Linked DNA regions of Drosophila melanogaster. The protein of the gene in region 1 interacts with the protein of each later gene in a pairwise test. Each region holds a gene or a part of one and is shown on either strand. Other genes may lie near its edges. The genes, in order: mib2 and cmb.

Region 1 (9,048 bases):
TGCTCTAGGCGGGCAAACTCTTGCTGCAGCTTATGCAACTCCTGTTGGAGATTCGTTTTCTCGTCTATGAGAAGGAGCATTTTCTTTTCCGTCTCGAAGCATTTTTGTGCCAGGGCGTCGCGATCCTCCTGAACTGCCTTGCTGTCCAGGAGTCCTGTGCGAGAGCCACGGGACAAGGAACTGGCTACACCGCCCTCCGGCGTGGATGCTTGCCTAGTGGCCTCAAGTTCCTGAAGGGCGCGCATAATGTTTGCTTGCAGTTCCTCCTCCAGACACATGATCTCTGTGATGTAGGACTGCTTCTCTGCACAGTTCACGGCGCAACCAAGGACCAACTGCAGCAGACGCTCCAGCTCTCCCAAGTCGCACTTCTCAGCGATCCTCTGCAGATCAGGCTTCGAGAAATCACTCAGCGAGTAGTTCAGTACGTCGCTGTAGTAGTCGTACACGGACTGGGTCACCTTTTTAAGATTGCTCATCCGCAATCGCCAGTTGCTGCCCACGGCACTGGCCTTGATCTTGGAAAGCCAAGCGTCGGTGAAGGATTCGGGGGCGAACTGGTTAAGAGCCTGTGAATAAAGGAGCTATTAAATATTGATGAACTATATATGTATATATAGTTACCTGAGCCAGTGCCACTCCGTCAGCTAAGGATTCCGCATCCGCATGCGGGGCATTTAGATTGAGGGTCTTGAACCACTCCAGCAAGCTATAGTACATCTCGTTCTTGGGCGCGGACATGTTGCAGGTGTGAACGAAACGCTAAACGAAACAAAACAAACTAAAAATATGCACAATTTCACAAAAAAAGAGCTCTCAGCTGTTGCACTAAAAACCAAAACATACATCGAACTGCACGACAGCTATCGAAAGCCATTGAGATGCACTTTCTCTATCGATAGAAAATATCGTTATTTATTATTTATCATGTTTACAAAATTAAACAGGAATTAAATATGTATGTTTATAAAAATATAAATGTTAATATTTAAATTAAAATTAATACATTTTACCCTAGAGCTTTTATAATTTTAATATCAGTAACATCGAAGTTTGGGTACAACCTCATGTTAATAAAAATAATTTTTAATATATTCTGTCAATCATTGCTTATATTAAAGTCAATTGCCATGGCCGAACCACGCCCACCATCTAGTGCCTTTAGCATGCACTGCTCCGCCCACTTTAGCTTCTCATCCTGCTCCTTAATCTTGTCCAGTGGGGTCCAGCTCAAATCGTACTCCAACCTGTAGCTGCCTTTGAATGTTTGGTCAACGGAGAGACTCCATTCCTGAAAGTGTACATCCATTAATAATGCGATTTTAGAATTATTTTCAAACAAAACGTACTTCCGGTGATAGCATGCTGAAATAGTTTTGACCCGATGGCCTTTGATAAAGATGATAGATGTGTCCGGGTTTTTTGGTGAAATTGCAGGCCGCACTGTGCAGATCTCGGTTGAGAGTGGACTCCTTAAGTATCTCCATCGCTTGGGCCTGAAGCATTTTGATCTATGAAAGATTTATTAGTTTGTATTATAATTGTTAAAGAGGAGTATAGCTTACCTGCTCCATTATGACCCCCAGCTTTTGGCAAGTTGTGTTTTTCAATTGTTTATCAGCATTCTGAATTTGTTGGGCCAATTCGATGATATCCTCCTCCTGGTGCATGGACACACGCATGGGGTTTATCTGCAACTGGGGATTCCTCTCAACCAGTTGGGCTAAAAAATACAATATTTATTTGTTTACCTCTCAGTAGTTATATCATAGAAGCGTACCCTTTTTTACAGCTGTCTGATACGTCAATTCGTCCATTTCGGCCGCTCTTTTCATCACACGCTACCGAACATGAATACAAATAAGTAATCACTCCGCGATTGACAACTATGTAAATTTATGGACTGCCAAAAATAAAATAATAACATGTGTTCTTTATAGCTGGTATATCTCCTCCAGTCATCGTTTTCCCTAGGTGTTATCGATCACTATCGAATAGATGTCATATTGCACGGCCGTCTCTAGATAGAAAGAAGAAGCACACTAAATTGTAGTTTTATTTAATAGTTCTAGCGAAATAGTGAATTTTGGCCATTTAACTAAAAAATTGTAATGTCCAGGCGAAATTGACCATAAGTGCGGTATCTGTGTGTTAAATAGTGCGGAAATTAGATCGCGTGCGAGTGAACTATGCCCTTTTTGGCAACCAGAGCAACGGTGTCACTGCATTTTAGCGAAAGGAAACACTAAATGCCCATTAAAAAGCGCACGCGCGTATAAAATGCACCATTAAAGGCTTGAGAACTTTAAGTTTTTCATTGCGAACAGCTGGAGCTAAGCGACAGTATCACAAATTGCATTGGTAAGCCCAAAAAAAAATCCAAACCAAGCCCCCAATAATCGCTTTTCACATACTCAATTTTGCATAAGTATATATTTGTAAAATATATACACATACGTATATATATGTGTGCGATGGCAAAACGGGCGTGAGTGTGAGTGTGTGCTTGGACTTTCGTAAACAACACATGCGGGTCGATTCCTTGAATGACTTCGCTGCTTGACCAAGAAGTCACAGGCACTTGGCTTTTGTCAGCGGGACGATGAGAAATCCGTATCGAAATTGAAATCGGAGGTTCAGACGGTGCATATATACATATATCCGTCTTATCGGCATGCGTCATGCGAGCTTCTGGGCTGCACCCACACCACAAAACCTCGGACTGCCAGAAACCGAAGCGCTGGCGATCGGGAAACATATCTGGCATTTGAATGGCATTTCCTCCCCCGACACCCCATAAATGATGCGAAGGGTTAACAAAGAAATCTCAAGAGTTTTAATACAGAAATCTCTAGAAAATTTTAATTCTGCTTAAGTATTTTGTGAAGAGTACAATTTCTTGCTTAGAATTAAGCCACTGCAATGTTTTAAAACATGCTCATAGAGACCCTTCCATGCTTGAGCCTACAAAGACTTCTGAGATGACCCCGATATGCTCCTCTCCTTTTGAGTCATGCGCTGACGGGGCCGCCATTTAGTTGACCCAATTATCAGCCAGGTCCCATCAAACGCCGTGCCCCGAGTATTGTCAAATGTCACATTTATGCTATCCTCCTTGCAGGCTGAATCGGATTACACAAATTGAGCCAACCAAACGCCATGCGAGCCTCCATTCCGCCCGGCATTCGAGTGGTGCGCGGACCCAACTGGATCTGGTCGAATCAAGGTAAGAACGCATTCAGGCAGCCACGGGCCAGCTTGTTTACTTTCACCCACCTCCAAAGAGGCGAATTAACTTGCCATCCGCTCTCTGTTTATAGATACGGGTGTTTTTGTTATATAGTTCAGATCGAAATTTGCGTACGGTAGAGATTAGGCGGTGGGGATGTCGCCAACTTAGGCATTCAATTTCGGTAAAACCCATACTTAGTCATACGTTCTCCGATTAAAAGGGCTTTACAATGGGATTATTACTTCTGTTTAAACTCCAATATCTGTCCTTAAAAAAAATCATGTTTATAATTTATTAAGCTGATTTTATCCGCATATTTTGGATTTGATAGCGTAATAATAATAAGCAATATCTTAAATAAACATTTTTATACCTCTTACGATCGATCAATATTTGATCAAATTTAATCTACTGATACTTTAATTTTTGTTATAATATGTATGTAGAAAAGACATGATAAATAATGAATATATGGCATAAAGGGAATCACTTCGTGGCCAATACTTACTGTATACGCCAAACGCAACTCACTTGGCATTGGCACCCGTAGAGGGTCCGTTGAGAGTGTGCGAGTGCGGAGGGGTGTGGGGCAATGGGACGGGATGGGACGGAGAGGTGTACGTCCGTGTCCGCTGCTGCTGCTCGGGGCGTTGTTGAATGTAAAGAGGACGCGCCCGCTATTTTTAGCAACACTCACTGCGGCAGCAGTGAAATTCTTGCGCTTACCAATTGCTTCTGCTTTCGTCGCTTCGTTTTATGGTTCATATACATACATATGTACATATATATGGCGGGGATGTGTGGCTCTCGATGGTACGTACATATATAGTACGCCACCCTACGTGGCAGGTAAATACATATGCACATACATACGTCCGTAGGCAGCTGCCCGCCAAACAATAATATTGCGTAGTTTTTAATTGAATTAATTGTCTTTCGCTGGAACAAATTCGTAACGTATTACAAACAATTAGATGATGAGGCTTATATCGTTTCGAAAGCTTGATAAACCGACTGTATTATATGTGCCATGAAAAGAGATTAGAACTCAAAACCTCAAAAATGAAAGGAATGTAGAACACTATAATTTTCAATTACATTTTGATAGTTGCAAATGAATATTACCAAGAGAGAACATTTCTTCAGATACACTTCAAAAACAATTTGAATCATTTTGTGGAAGTTAAACCAATCACCAAAGCCTAATTTGATAATAAACGCAGTAATGTTTAAGCCTATTGAAGGATCCTATTAAAGCAGCTGCACACGTTTAGGATTAGGTCATGGTATGTGTTCCCCCCTCCCCAAGTCGCCCTATTCCAGCCTGTGCAGCGAATGCATATGCACATGTCAGGCGCTAGGGCGCGTGCCATTTTGTCTCCAACCTTTTTTTGAGTGTTTATTTTTAGTTACACGGGTGGGGATCGCGAGCAGTTACACAGCTCCAGCCGGCCTGATATTTGGGGACGATGTGGAGAGTTTATTTTTGGACCTTGGTATTCCTCCGACTGGGGTGTGTTGAAAATAGACATAAACAAATTTTCAGATGGGAGCCCAGCCATCGGTGCTCCCATTCCTCCCCAGGCCAACATCAAATGTCACCCTCTAGAGAACGATTCCACATCCACACCCGTGATACGGGGTAATTATAGAGCAGCTGCACGCCCGAGTCCGAGTGCATAACAAAAATCCGCTTGGAGCCCGAGCCCGAGTCAATGATTATGGGTATTTATAGTCACGGCGCGTTGTTTATGAGGGGGAAGTGTGCGCTCTGCATATGTCTGATATCCACCGGATGTGGATGTGGGGATGGTGATGCCGATGTACACACAATGCAGCCCTAGGAGCATCCTTGTGGCAGCTCTATAGCTCTATAGCTTCTCCAACTCACATCACGTCACTCTCGACTTTGTTTCATTGCTTACGCAACAGACGACGGAGAAGGTCACGTTGGAACCGTTTGCGAAATCGGACGTTGCGGATCGACACATTCGCCAGAAAACACTGTCGTGGTCAACTGGGATTCCGGACACCGGACCAACTACCGTGTGGGCTACCAAAACCAGTACGACTTGATAATTGTAGATAATGCTCAAGTTGGTAAGTGACGATATTTAAGAAATCTATTCAATTAGTTAATTTTAATTTTCCAAATTACAATTATTTATAGTTCATTGTTTATAAGGTCTTATATTCGAATTCTTTTTTCGCAGGAGTTCGTCACTCAAATGTTGTCTGCGATGGCTGTTCCAAGGCGGGTATCGCTGGCATAGTATTCAAGTGCGCCCAGTGTCCCAACTATCACCTATGCGCCTATTGCTACGCAGAGGATCTGCACGATATTGAGCACCCGTTTATCCGCTACACGACTCCCAACTCGCTGGGCGTGAGATTGCCCATGAGAAAAGGTGCCAAGCGCATCCAGCTGCGAGGCATCTTTGTGGGTTCCAAAGTAGTGCGCGGTCCTGACTGGGAGTGGAACGAACAGGACGGCGGAGAAGGCAGGACGGGTCGGGTAATGGAAATCCGAGGCTGGGACAACGAATCGTGTCGCAGCGTGGCCAACGTAGCGTGGGTAACCGGATCGACGAACGTCTACCGTCTAGGTCACAAGGGAAACGTTGACCTCAAGTACATTACTGCCACGTGCGGTGGTCACTACTATAAGGACCACATGCCTGTTCTAGGTCAGACAGAGGAGTTGCAGCCGGTGGCGCCCATGGTGAAGCCAAGCTTTTCCGTGGGCGACCGCGTCAAGGTTTGCCTAGAGGTTGACGCCCTAATGAAATTGCAGCAGGGCCATGGCGGATGGAATCCGCGCATGGTCGAGCATTTGTCCAAACTGGGCACAGTACACCGCATCACGGACAAGGGGGATATACGGTGAGAATATATAATTTGGTTGATTTTATTTGGATTTCTAACACAGTCGAAACCCAAACAGTGTTCAGTATGAAAACTGTCCCAATCGATGGACCTTTCATCCCGCCGCACTCGTTAAGGTTGTCTCTTTTCGTGTCGGTGACCTGGTCACCATCATCAACGATGCCAACAAAGTGCAGCAGCTGCAGAAGGGTCACGGCGAATGGATAGAAATCATGCGACACGTGAGTATTCAGATTATGTTAAATCTTTTTTGAGAGTATTCTTTAAAAAAAATGTTTTTCAGGCCCTTGGAAAAATTTGCAAGGTAGTGAAGGTGTACTCGGACGGTGACCTCCGCATCCAGCAGTTGGACGACGGCTTCGAGTGGACCCTGAATCCGAAATGTGTCAAACTAGAGCGTTCTCCTTTGGCAACAGCAGCTGAGCGCTCTAACAGTATGATGGACCTAAGCCACCGACGCGCTGACCATGTAATGACACCGCTCTCTGGCCTCTCCGGTAGTTCGGTTGCCGACAAGCTGGTGCGCGAGGCTGCCCAGGGCCATTTGGATTTCGTGCGGCAGTACCTGGACGTGAATCCCAGCCAGGTGGATGTGATGAGTGGCGGCAAGGCTTGTATTCAGGTGGCCTCTCATCAGGGCTACGTCGATCTTGTCAGCTACCTCATCTCCAAGGGTGCCAACGTGAATGCGGTCGACAAGGAAGGTGATTCAGCTCTGCACTACGCAGCCTTCGGCAATCAGCCGGCCACCATGAGAGTGCTGCTGCAGCACGGTGCTGAGGTGAACTTCCTAAACTCGAGCCACTGCTCTGCACTGCACATCTGCGCGCACAAGAAAACGCCGCACTGTGTGCGTGAGTTGCTGCAGCACAATGCCAACGTAAACATTCAGGATTCGTACGGGGATACGGCGCTTCACGACGCAATCGGCAAAGAGAATACGGAAGTTGTGGAGTTGCTTTGTAATGCTCCGAATCTGGACTTTACGGTTAAGAATAATCGCGGCTTTAACGTGCTACACCATGCAGCGCTTAAAGGAAACGTGGTAGCTGCTCGCCGTATCCTGTTGCTCTCCCGCCAGCTGGTCAATGTGCGCAAAGACGATGGCTTTGCGGCTCTTCATTTGGCAGCCCTTAACGGTCATGCCCAGGTTGTGGAAACGCTGGTCACTGAGGGCCAAGCGGAGTTAGATATACGCAATAATCGCCAACAGACGCCGTTCCTACTGGCCGTCTCCCAGGGCCATGCCGGGGTAATCGAGCGACTCGTTCGCCTCTCCTGCGACGTGAATGCCAAGGATGAGGATGGCGACAATGCGATGCACTTGTGCGTCATTAAGAAGTCCAATCTGCAGTCGGCCGCGGAGCCTCAGCCAGAGGAGGCTCCTGAGATTCACAAGTTTTACCTGAGTCTAGTACACTCGAGCATTCGTCCTGAGGATCGTTTGATGTACAGTATATTGATCTATCTTTCGAGGGCCGGCTGCCGAGTGGAGCTGAACAACGCCAATGCAAGCATTTTTGAGTGGATAACGGACCGCCACATCAGGCAACTGATTTTTGGGCAGCAGGGCGAAGCTGAATCGCTGCCTAGGAATCTTCAAGCTTTGGAAGTGTCCGCAGGATCAGCCGACGGTGAGGAGAGCTCTGCGTCTGCTGGAGCTGAATCCAATGGAGCCGGACCTGGAAGCGTTGCAGCACCCCCACCACCGCAGCGCCAGACATTTGAACTAATGCCAAAGCCAAACGATATCCCAGCCATTGGAGTTGGAGCATCTCCATCCACGCCCTCCGCCTCGCCGGGCGTAAAGAAACTGAACTCCGACGCAACACCGCAAAACGTCTCTCCACAGGTGGCACCGCGCAAGAAGGCGCCCAAGCCTCCGGTTACCACTAGCTCGAGCAGTACCGCGTTGGAAGCCGGAGCGGCGGGACCCAGTACCAGTCCGGTGATCGTCCCCGGTCCCCATGAGTGCATTGTGTGCAATGAGATCCTGCCGATGGTGCGCTTTGAGCCGTGTCAGCATCAGATCGCCTGCGAGGAGTGCGGCATCCGAATGAAAAAGTGTCTCCGCTGTGCCGTGGCGATCGAGCGGCGATTGACGGTCAGCGGCCGAGTGGTGGCCCTGCCCACGTCCACGTCGTCACCTAGTGACCCCACTCGCCTACCGTCCGGGGATCTACTTCGCTATCTGGAGAACAAAGTGCTGGAGTTTGAGGAGTCGCACTTCTGCGGTATTTGCATGGAGCGAAAAAGGGATGTGGCCTTCCTGTGCGGGCACGGCGCGTGCTCCCATTGTGCCGAAACGCTCCGCACATGCCACATGTGTCGCAAGACAATACTCAAGAAGATCAACCTGTACTGAACGGCGGTAACGGAAACGAAAGAAAAGCAAAGGCGGCAGGATCAGCAGCAATTCAAACAGCAACCAAAGTGGCTTGTATATATACATACACAAAACAAACACACACTCACATTGCCGTGTCATGTGCAAATCGAAATTATTATTTATTGATCACAAACGAAATTTACGAGTTCTTTTTTAATCGGTTCATCATCGGCATCGTCGCAACACGCAACAAATTAATGTGCACCTTCTCGTGTCTAGTTATTAGCCCCGTTTAACCATGTCTGGTAACGATAAATACATAGGAAACTAACTAAAGCATACAAATATTTAATAGTCATTTAAATGCAAATATACAAATATAAAATTATTTAATTGAGTGAATTTCAATCGATGTCGGTGGTTAGCCTACAGAAAATAAAGATACTTTATTTCTGAATATGCTGGGGTGACTTTTAATTGTATTGGTATTTAAAAGGTTTAGTTTAAAATTGAATATATAATAAGTTTAGAAAGATTTTAAAACTGAAATGTTGTAACGGCAAAGTGTGAACAAGTTATTTTCTTTCAGTACGCTGCATAA
Region 2 (9,017 bases), on another chromosome or scaffold:
TTATAAGGTTCAAGCCTCAGATTATCTTATCACTATATCGATGTAAACATTGCAAACAACTGGCAAATGAATTGGTGGGAAAGGCGATGACTCTTGGAAGTCTAAATTTGGATCACCATATTCACAGCAGGTTCACCTAAATCATCATGCAATTGATGTACATTTACTTTAACACAGGGGTTTATATTTATAACTATATTTTTATGAATTAATTTAAATTTTTTTTTGAAAATGCTTCTGTTACAATTACAACGAAAAAATGTTTTAAGCATGTTTTCAATTTAATTGTTACCTTCCTTTTCTAAACATAAAAAAAGTTTCCTTTGTAGACTTTCATATTAATGTGGAAAAGCTTGTCGGCTGTTTCTAAAAACTCTACACGAACACGAAAACGATTCAAAATATTTTCGTTTTCGGCACATCGTTTCAGTTGAAATTTGGGCATCTCTTTGTGCGCACAGCTCATCGCTCGGAGGATTCGAATATACGATTAAAAGGTAGCATTTTCAAGTATAATATATGTGGTGTATTGTGGTGTACATTTTCATAAGTGCACTTGTTAGTTTTGTCTTCAAAAATGCCAAGATGACTGACACTATTCTAACTGAAAAATAATTTAACAAAGAGCCATTTATTTATAGACAGTGCCTTGCGATGGGCCTTTGTTTGTATTGAGAAAATAATCAACGTGCACGATATACATAACACCAAGTATTCCCTCTTCTCCTCAGGAACCCAGAAAATGGTCAACGAACTGAATAGGCCTCAAAATGGGGACAATGCCGCCTTGAGCGAGGTAAGCTGGAGTCTTCGGGAAATTGCAAAACTCTTAGTATTTAAGTGTTTTAAAACAATAAGAAAACACAGTCAGTAAAGTTAAATAAATACCGTGACACATTCTTTTTAGACAACAAAATGAATGAGTCACACCAATAAGCCTACAGTCTCTAGATGTTTCAGTTGAAATGAAATTTAAGTACGAAGCTTTTTCTATACCAGTGAGCTAAAAAATAGAGTTTTTTAATAATAATATACAAAATCATTTTTCTTTTGATGCCCTAATGTAGTCTTTGAACTATGATGTTTTTAAACCAATTTTTTCATTATTGAAGCTTTCAAAACTAATTATTTGTATTTTTTAAGCGCCTAGCTGCTTCCAACAGACAGCTGCAAGAGATGCAGGAGGAGCACCGCCAGTTGCTTGAGGAGATGGAGACACTGCGCTTACGAGCCGCTGAGCTGACCCTTCTGAATGCCCAGCGCCGACAAGTGCGGCAGTCCACCGAGGAGGAGGAGGTTCAGTCCCACGTTGAATCCTCATCGGAGACAGTAACAGTTGCTTCATCCGCCAGTGCTTCTGGAGAGTTCACAAACCGGGAAGAGGCACCATCTGGTGAGGAAGAGGGCGGGGAGGACAAAGAGGAGCAGGCCAGTTATCTGCAGGAGAAGCTAAACGAGATCGCCAACCTGAAGGCGCAGTTTAAGCGCGTGCAGAACATGGTGGACACCACCAAGATGATCGAGGAGCACATGTCCTCCAGGCAAACGGTACAGGTCCAGAGCTCCACCTCCGTTCAGACCAGCAGGCAGACCACCTCGTCAGAAGTCCGAGTGGCCAGCGAGGCCGTAGAGAGTGCCCAAGAAGAGAATCCATCGACCTCGTCGAGTGCTCCCGATAACGCCGAGCTCCTGAATTCCATGCTTAACATGTTCACGGACTTCACCAGTGATCTACGCGGTCAAGCGGTGGGACTCCGGGCGGAGAGGGATCGGATTCGTGCGCTCAAGGAGGACATCATCCAGCGCAAGCAGGGAAAGTAGGCACGTCCAAACTTGAAAGGGAAAATGGCTCTAGTCATATAATGTTTATTATCCAAGGAACATATTATAAAGTAATCTCCAAATAAATAATTATCCTTAAAAGATATCAAATTACCAAGTAACGTTAGTTTATCTACACCAAAAGCATTTAAAATACTTTTTACAGATATACATTTTATTTTAAACTAAAAATAATATTTATTTTTGAATTTTAGAAAACATTCGATTTCAAAAAACGTCCGCTGCCAGTGTGACCATAACTTGGTAGGCTTGTTAACTAGCTTCCAGCCCTGGTTGGGAACAGCTGTCAGAGTGCGCAAAGCAAAAAAACAAAGTGGGAGTACAAAAAAGAGGAGTTTTTTCAATTTTGTAGCGTCGTTTTTTGTACGCAAATATATATATATATATTTTCTAATGGCGCCGCCGCCCAAGGTAGTTGTGGACCAAGCCAACGCCAGCGCCCGCAGCAATGGCAGCAGCAACAACAACTCGGTGGGCGGGGCAACCGGTGCGGTGCCTAAACAACAAACGCCTGTAAACGGAGCACCCACGTCCGGGTCGAGTGCATCTGTGACATCCAGCCGGTCGGCCCGCTCTCGCCGGCAGCAGGAGCACCTGGGCGAACCGGACATGGAACTTGTCGAGCCAGAGACGCTGCAGCGGGAGACGCTGAAAACTCTGAATGTAAGTTAGACGGACGTCTGGTTGCCATGGCAAATCTTCTCGAAGAGAAGACACCAAGACCTTTCTCTTCTTGGTTTTATAAATACACTTTACACTCATCGCGACCTGCGGAAATTCGTTAGCCGCTGGCTCAGTAGCGAATGCGAACTCAACCACTGCGGACAACGAATTTCGATCGGCCAGAGCAGCGCCCTTATACATATATATATATATATCTGAAATAGATATATATATATAGACCTAAAATCAGCAAAATTACCGCAATCCTCGTGCTGGTTTTCCTGCTAATCTTCATTTACTGTTGCTTAAAGGATCTCCTCCAGCGAGCACGCATCACCAACGCCAAGAATCGATCGCCGGCGGAGCAGCATCTGTCTAGCAAGGATCACAGGTCGCCTGCACAACAGCAACAGCAGCGCGAGGCACTGCGTCAGTTGGCCGCCGAACACGGCAACTACGATACAGCAGGTAATGGGTCCTGAAACCGTTGAGGAATATACACATTTAATTGAGCAATTTCCAATATCCGCACCTGGCAAAGTGATCGGCCTGGCCCACACAGAGATCGGTGCGCCAGTTCATGTTCTATAAATAAGATGCGCACGAAAATAAACGCCCACTGAGATGATGTAGTTCGCAGCGCAGTATTTAGCAATGGACCTAAACATCCATACTGATCTTTGGCTATTTTCCATTACAGAGCAACTGCAGGAACAGCAGCAGCGCTATCGATTCCCCGTCCGTCCTGTCCAGAGGGTTCAGCACCAGCCATCCTCGTCAGCTAATAGCACAGGCGCCCCCTCATCTTCGACGGCTTTGCTGCGTTTGCGTCAATCGACGCCTCCGAATGCCACAGTAGGTGTGGTCATACCGAACGCAACTACCAGCAACGGAAACGGCAATTTGAGTGGCAACGAGGAGCAGGCACCGCCACTGACCCCCGCTGGACTGCAACAACTCGTTCACCGACTTCTTGGTGTACACCATTTTGCTCCCAGAACCGAAGGTTTTCGCTCGCAGGTTGACGTGTTACGCGCCCTGCTAGGATTAGACGAGAACCTGAATAGCAGATATCAACCGAGTAGGAAAGTTGTAGAGGTGAGTTTGAAAGCTTGTGTCAGGAACTTCAAGTGAGCCGTACATTTATAACATTTATAAGATTGATAATAACATTTTTTATATCGTAATAATAAATGAAACTAAATCCTTTAATTCTTGCCCCAGACGAACAACATGGTGCACGAAATCAACCCAAATTCGGATCAGGGTGAAGGCGTAGTCAATTCGACCAGCTTGGAGGATGTTGCATTAAGCGAGGTTAGTTGGTTAATAAAACCAAAAGTCTGCCTTCTAGTACTCAAACCATTTGTACCTTTCAGATGAGCGACAACCGCGCCCAATCCATTCAGTCCCTACACAGCGTCTTGGAAACGCCCACGCCCGATACCACGCCCAGCTTCGATGAGTTGCAGCAGCGCTTGGAAGCCTCCAATAGGAACATGCAGCACCTGCACGACGAACAGGCGAAGCTGTTACAAATCCAAAATTTGGCCAAGACTCACCTTAACGAGATGGAGCGGCTGCGCCAGCAAGCCGATAGCTTACCCCACAATGTCAATGGGGGAGAGGCCCCCAAATACGAGTCCGTGCAGCAGGTACAGGACGACATGGCGTCGCTGGTGGGGCGCATGAAGAATCTCACCGCCTTTATACACAACCAGAACGAACTGAGCACGGTGCTTGGCGATGATGGGCCCGAGATCCTGGCCGAGCAGGAAGCCCTGCAGGAGAAACTGGAATCACTGCGCACCCAACGTGAGGATATGCGCAATCTGGTGGACGAACTAAACAGCATCAACCGTGCGGCCAGGGAGACTGCTAGAGTCATCAAAGAGAAAGAGGAGACTCCCACGCCTCCTCCCAAGCCAGAGGAGGCTGCCCCAGCGGCTCCCAAGGAGCGTGTTGTTCCTGTGGAGTATCAGAGAAACGTACCCATCATACGCCAGGAGGCGGCCAACGCTGCTCAACGGGCACTTCACGCACAGGCAATGATCAACCAGAAGACGGCAGATATAGAAGCACTCAAGGCTCAGATGGCGAGACTAAAGGGAATGCTGTACACTGTTAGCCAGATTGAAGAAAGTACTCCCAGCATGGGCTCCACCTTAGAGCGGCGTAGTGAGGAAAGAACTAGCGTGGAGCGCGAATTGCCGGCCGAGATTGCCCAGCGCGTATTCGCTCTGAACGATGTTACGAGCGAACTGAGAGCGGAAGCAGCAAGCTTGCAAAAGGAGCGTGACCGTATCCTAGCCCTGAAGGCAGAGATTGAGCGACGCAAACAACAGGCGGCCGCCGCTGTTCAAATGGGCGATGATGCACTTAAAAGAAGCAGTCTTACCCCAACACCCACCCCCATGAGACAGCGGATGACCGAGGAAGAGGATCCATCCGAAGTGGATAATTCTCTTCAGGCTACGCCCACCAAGGAACAACTGCGCGATGAACTGCGCTCGCAGTGCGAGCGCCTGCGAACGGAATACGAGCAGAAGCAGCGGGAACTGGAGCAGCGTTACGTAGCCAGTAACAACACCACATCGGAGGCGGATGACGAGGCAAACGACGACACTGACAGCGATAAGTACTTCGCCAACGTACGTACCGCTTCCTCAGCGACCCTAAAGAGGGCTCCATCCGCCAACACAGTGGTGGAGCAACGACGAGGTCAGCAACCTAACGTTCCCCCACAGCAGGCACCACCACCACCGCCGCCTGCTCCTCCGTCGACGCTAAACGAAGATGACCTGAATGTGACACTTGATACGCTATCCCTGGGTAATGACAGCATACCATCCAGCAGCAATAGATCGCAGTACATGCCGCCCCCCATGCAACCAGTGCCTGGAATGTGGGGTACGTTTTTAATTCCACCAACAAAGGCGGAAATTTACCAACTTTACTTTACCAACTTGAATTCATGTATTAGTTTCCTCGTTTTACGCTTATTTTTATGCATCCGCTAGCAGCATCACACAACTCTGGAAGTTCGTGGCATGGACAGCAGCCCGTCTACGGTCAGCCGAGCTCCAGTGCCGGCACAGAGTTTAAAAAGCTGCCAGCCGCCCAACAAGGGGGCTCCTCAAATGGATCCGGATCGAATGCCTCTACCGACGCAGTTCTGCTGCAGCAGTTCATGCAGACGCAGCAAATGCTTATCAACTCTGTGTGCCAGTGCAACCAGGCACTGTGGCATCAACAGCGCGAAATCGACAACCTCAACCACCAGCTACATGCGGTAAGACAATCCATGAGATTAGAGAGCCTAATCAAAGACTAATTCAAGTGTTTTTTCACAGCTCCAGGATCGATTTAATGTTGTAGCATGCCAGGATCACAGCTTCGGCTTGCGCTCGGAATCAGTACCGCCTCCGGTGGGCCCTGGAATGGGTCAGATGCCCAACAATCTGTGCCTGGGCAGCAGTCGAGCTCAATCTGAGCAGCTATTTAACTTTGGTGCCCACCAGAGCGCCTTTAGTAACTATCAGCGCAGCTGTCATCGTAGCGGGGCAGAATCGCATCATCATCAACAGCAGCAGCATCAGGCGCAGCCGTTCCTTAACAATGCTGCTCCCCCGCCACCGCCGACGCACTTCAACAACGAGACACCCCTGTCGCCGCCTACTTACCGCTCAAGTCCAGGTCCCATCTTCATGAACCACCATAACAACACGATACATCAGAACAACTCGAATCTGCGAACCCAGAACCAGCATGCCAACAATCTGCACTCGCTGCCCGAGGGAGCAGCTGGTGGAGGAGCACCTGGTGGCGGTATTACATTGAACAATCAAGTACCACCCGGAAACAGAGCCAACAACTACTGGGACAACTTCCGCAGGTAATGCTTTATAACTTTGGTGTTGGATTTATTAATGGTTGTTTGATGGAAAAGGGTCAAAAGCAATAAAAATTAAATAAAACTATTGTGAAGAGTTAATTTTCAATTCTGTGCACCGGTAAGTGCGACCACGCGTTGCAGATAAGTGTCCCATTAACAGAGTTGAAAGTGACTAACCAAGACTAACTCCAAGTACTGACCAAGTTTTGCAAGTGCCTATTCGGCAGTAAACAAAGCTAATTTATAAAAGATGTGTATTCAATTTAAAAAGGATATATGGAATAGAAAAACTTAACTTAGTAACGCTCACTAGATTTAGCTAGTTTATCAACTGCATGATTCTTTGCTACCCGCTTGCATTAACCCATTAATATCTGTACGCTCTTCCAGCCATTCGCGCCAAAATCTCTTATCAAATAAAAGCAACGAGGAGCTGAACGTGGACCTCCAGCAGTATCGGCGACAACGGGCACGTCCCAGCTACTTTCAGCCGCCCCAGTTGCTTCCGCCTACTACGCGTGGTGGTTTGACCCACCAGCAGCAGCGTCGTCACTTTTTCGAGGCGCCACTAACCGCTTTGCATGGCAGCAGCTCCAATGGCAGCAATAATCTCAACAACAGCGGCAGTTCGGGCAGAAAAAGGGACTGGCGCGATGATGCAGGCCACATTCGCGACCACGACGATGAGGATGTGGACGAGGTGGAGGAGAACCATGATAACGTCATATTCGGCTCGGGTCGACGTCGCAATCGTCGCCGTCCTCAGCTTTCCACGCTGCGGGATGATGAGTCCGAGCAGGCTAGCTCCTCCAATCTCAACATGAACGTAAACTATGGCAACAGTCCGCTGTATCAGCGGAACAAGGTACCAGCAAAGCCCACCACTTCGACTGTGTCGCTTACTCCTCTGCAGCAGCGACATCTTCGTTTCGACTTCGAACTTCCAGCTCACTACATGGACTACATCGAGCTACCCCAGATTACTCCAGTGGACACTACTCCTACGCTCGGACAAGAAGCATCGCCCGCGGACGAATCAAATGCCATGGAGCAAACCGAGGAAACGGCCTCCGAGGAACTGAATCGAAATCTGCTGGTTAACGCTCTGAAGAACGACAAGTTCACCACAAAGTTTTATGAATCAATCAAGGAGGATGTCTACCGCCGGCTGGAGACACTCTTCGAGCAGCAGCAGCAGCAGCAGCAACAACAACAGCAACAAAATCAGCAGCTGCAGCACTCACATGAACCACACGGCTTGCGAAAGGCTCTTAACCAGGAGGAGAACGAACCTACTGGCGACGCCGAGGCCACCGAGAGTCGCAGTGAAACCCCGCTAGAGGTAATGCGTCTGCAGCTAGACAACGATCGGCCCGAGGACGAAAAAGGAACGCCAGTGAAGCAGCTAAGTTTGTCCAATCCACAGAACGGGCAGCACCTGGATGAAATGGAGGACAGTGCTTCTGCTGTTATCTCTTCTCTTAGGACCGAGAACGAAGAGGTAAGAAAGGCTTTCGTAAACTGGATCGATTAACTCATAATTGCGTCTTCCTTACCAGCAAATCCTCGAGGGAAAACTAGAACAAGCCTCTGGCTCGGGATCAGGACCAGGGACCAGCATAGAACTGGCACCGGATCACGAACTAATCGAGTACATTATCAAACGCATTCGCAATCAGACGCACAACAACACCGTCATCAATGACTCCCTACTGGCAGAGGTATCAAAGCTGACGGCCACTGCTGCCCAGAATTCGACCGCCAGCTCGCCACTAATTTCGCCCAAACGCATATATGCCAAGATCAAGAAGATGGACATACCACGACAGCGGGACGAGTTCCTGCTTTGGTACCGTTCTTATTTGGAGCAGCTGTTTGTGGTGGAACAGCCGCAGGATAGCTGCAAGACCAAGTCGAAGGTGACACCTTCTGGAGCCAGTCCGGCCAAGCTGAAGAACCAGCGTGTGCGCAAACAGTCCCAATCCCAGTCGCAGGACTCGAATAACGATGCAGACTTGGCCGAGGCGGACCAAAAGAACGTCTCCTCCGCGGGAAATGGCGAACTGGAGTGCGAGAACAACGAAAATCCCGACGAGGAGGCAGATGGACAGGCTGCAGCGGAGCCTTCCGGCGCAGAAAAACAGGACGTCAGTCTCGAATAGACTAGAGAATAACCCAACAAAGCAAACATTCCTTATTTAAGAAGTCATCATCTGTACGGATATTTCATATTTCATTTACGAATTTCGGAAAAGATAAATCTTTTATGGTCGTGTCCTTAGTCGTAGTTCGCAACTCATTTTGGGTATCAGTTTTTTATTTAACACTAAATTATGTAACAATAATATATATAAATACACTGAAAACAAGAAGGGTTTTGAATTCACCTAACAATCCCTGAGAATAAATACTTCTCCGGATTCTATTAGCCACTCCTTGCGGACGTCATCTGCTCCAGCATGCGGTAGTAGCAGTACCGGCTATCGTAGTCCAGATCGTACCAGAAGTTCACGGCGATGCACTTGTGGCTTTGGGACACATGGTGGAACCAGTAGTTGGGCAGGTATAGGATGTCTCCCGCGTGAACACGTACTTTCAGAGGCTTGGCCCGGGCGTA

Evidence for each region.
Region 2: the proteins of mib2 (region 1) and cmb interact in a two-hybrid assay, tested with the Drosophila melanogaster proteins (one large-scale study listed by BioGRID).

Annotation. Positions count from the first base shown.
Region 1 is NT_033779.5:19,032,640-19,041,687, forward strand, and holds mib2 (mind bomb 2), read left to right. Parts: upstream 1-1,817; 5' UTR 1,818-2,361; intron 2,362-2,860; exon of another isoform or gene 2,861-3,058; intron 3,059-3,121; 5' UTR 3,122-3,159; coding exon 3,160-3,226; intron 3,227-5,164; coding exon 5,165-5,332; intron 5,333-5,445; coding exon 5,446-6,115; intron 6,116-6,176; coding exon 6,177-6,339; intron 6,340-6,401; coding exon 6,402-8,483; 3' UTR 8,484-8,902; downstream 8,903-9,048. Other genes in the region: hook, read right to left, coding at 1-569, 625-741; CG31800 (uncharacterized protein), read right to left, coding at 1,100-1,291, 1,350-1,511, 1,566-1,723, 1,781-1,817.
Region 2 is NT_037436.4:13,440,484-13,449,500, forward strand, and holds cmb (combover), read left to right. Parts: upstream 1-2,110; 5' UTR 2,111-2,235; coding exon 2,236-2,505; intron 2,506-2,635; exon of another isoform or gene 2,636-2,816; coding exon 2,817-2,973; intron 2,974-3,205; coding exon 3,206-3,603; intron 3,604-3,729; coding exon 3,730-3,822; intron 3,823-3,884; coding exon 3,885-5,415; intron 5,416-5,525; coding exon of another isoform or gene 5,526-5,528; coding exon 5,529-5,797; intron 5,798-5,858; coding exon 5,859-6,400; coding exon of another isoform or gene 6,401-6,404; exon of another isoform or gene 6,405-6,478; intron 6,479-6,790; coding exon 6,791-7,901; intron 7,902-7,959; coding exon 7,960-8,562; 3' UTR 8,563-8,762; downstream 8,763-9,017. Other genes in the region: CG14109 (uncharacterized protein), read left to right, coding at 743-796, 1,144-1,821; JMJD7 (jumonji domain containing 7), read right to left, coding at 8,826-9,017.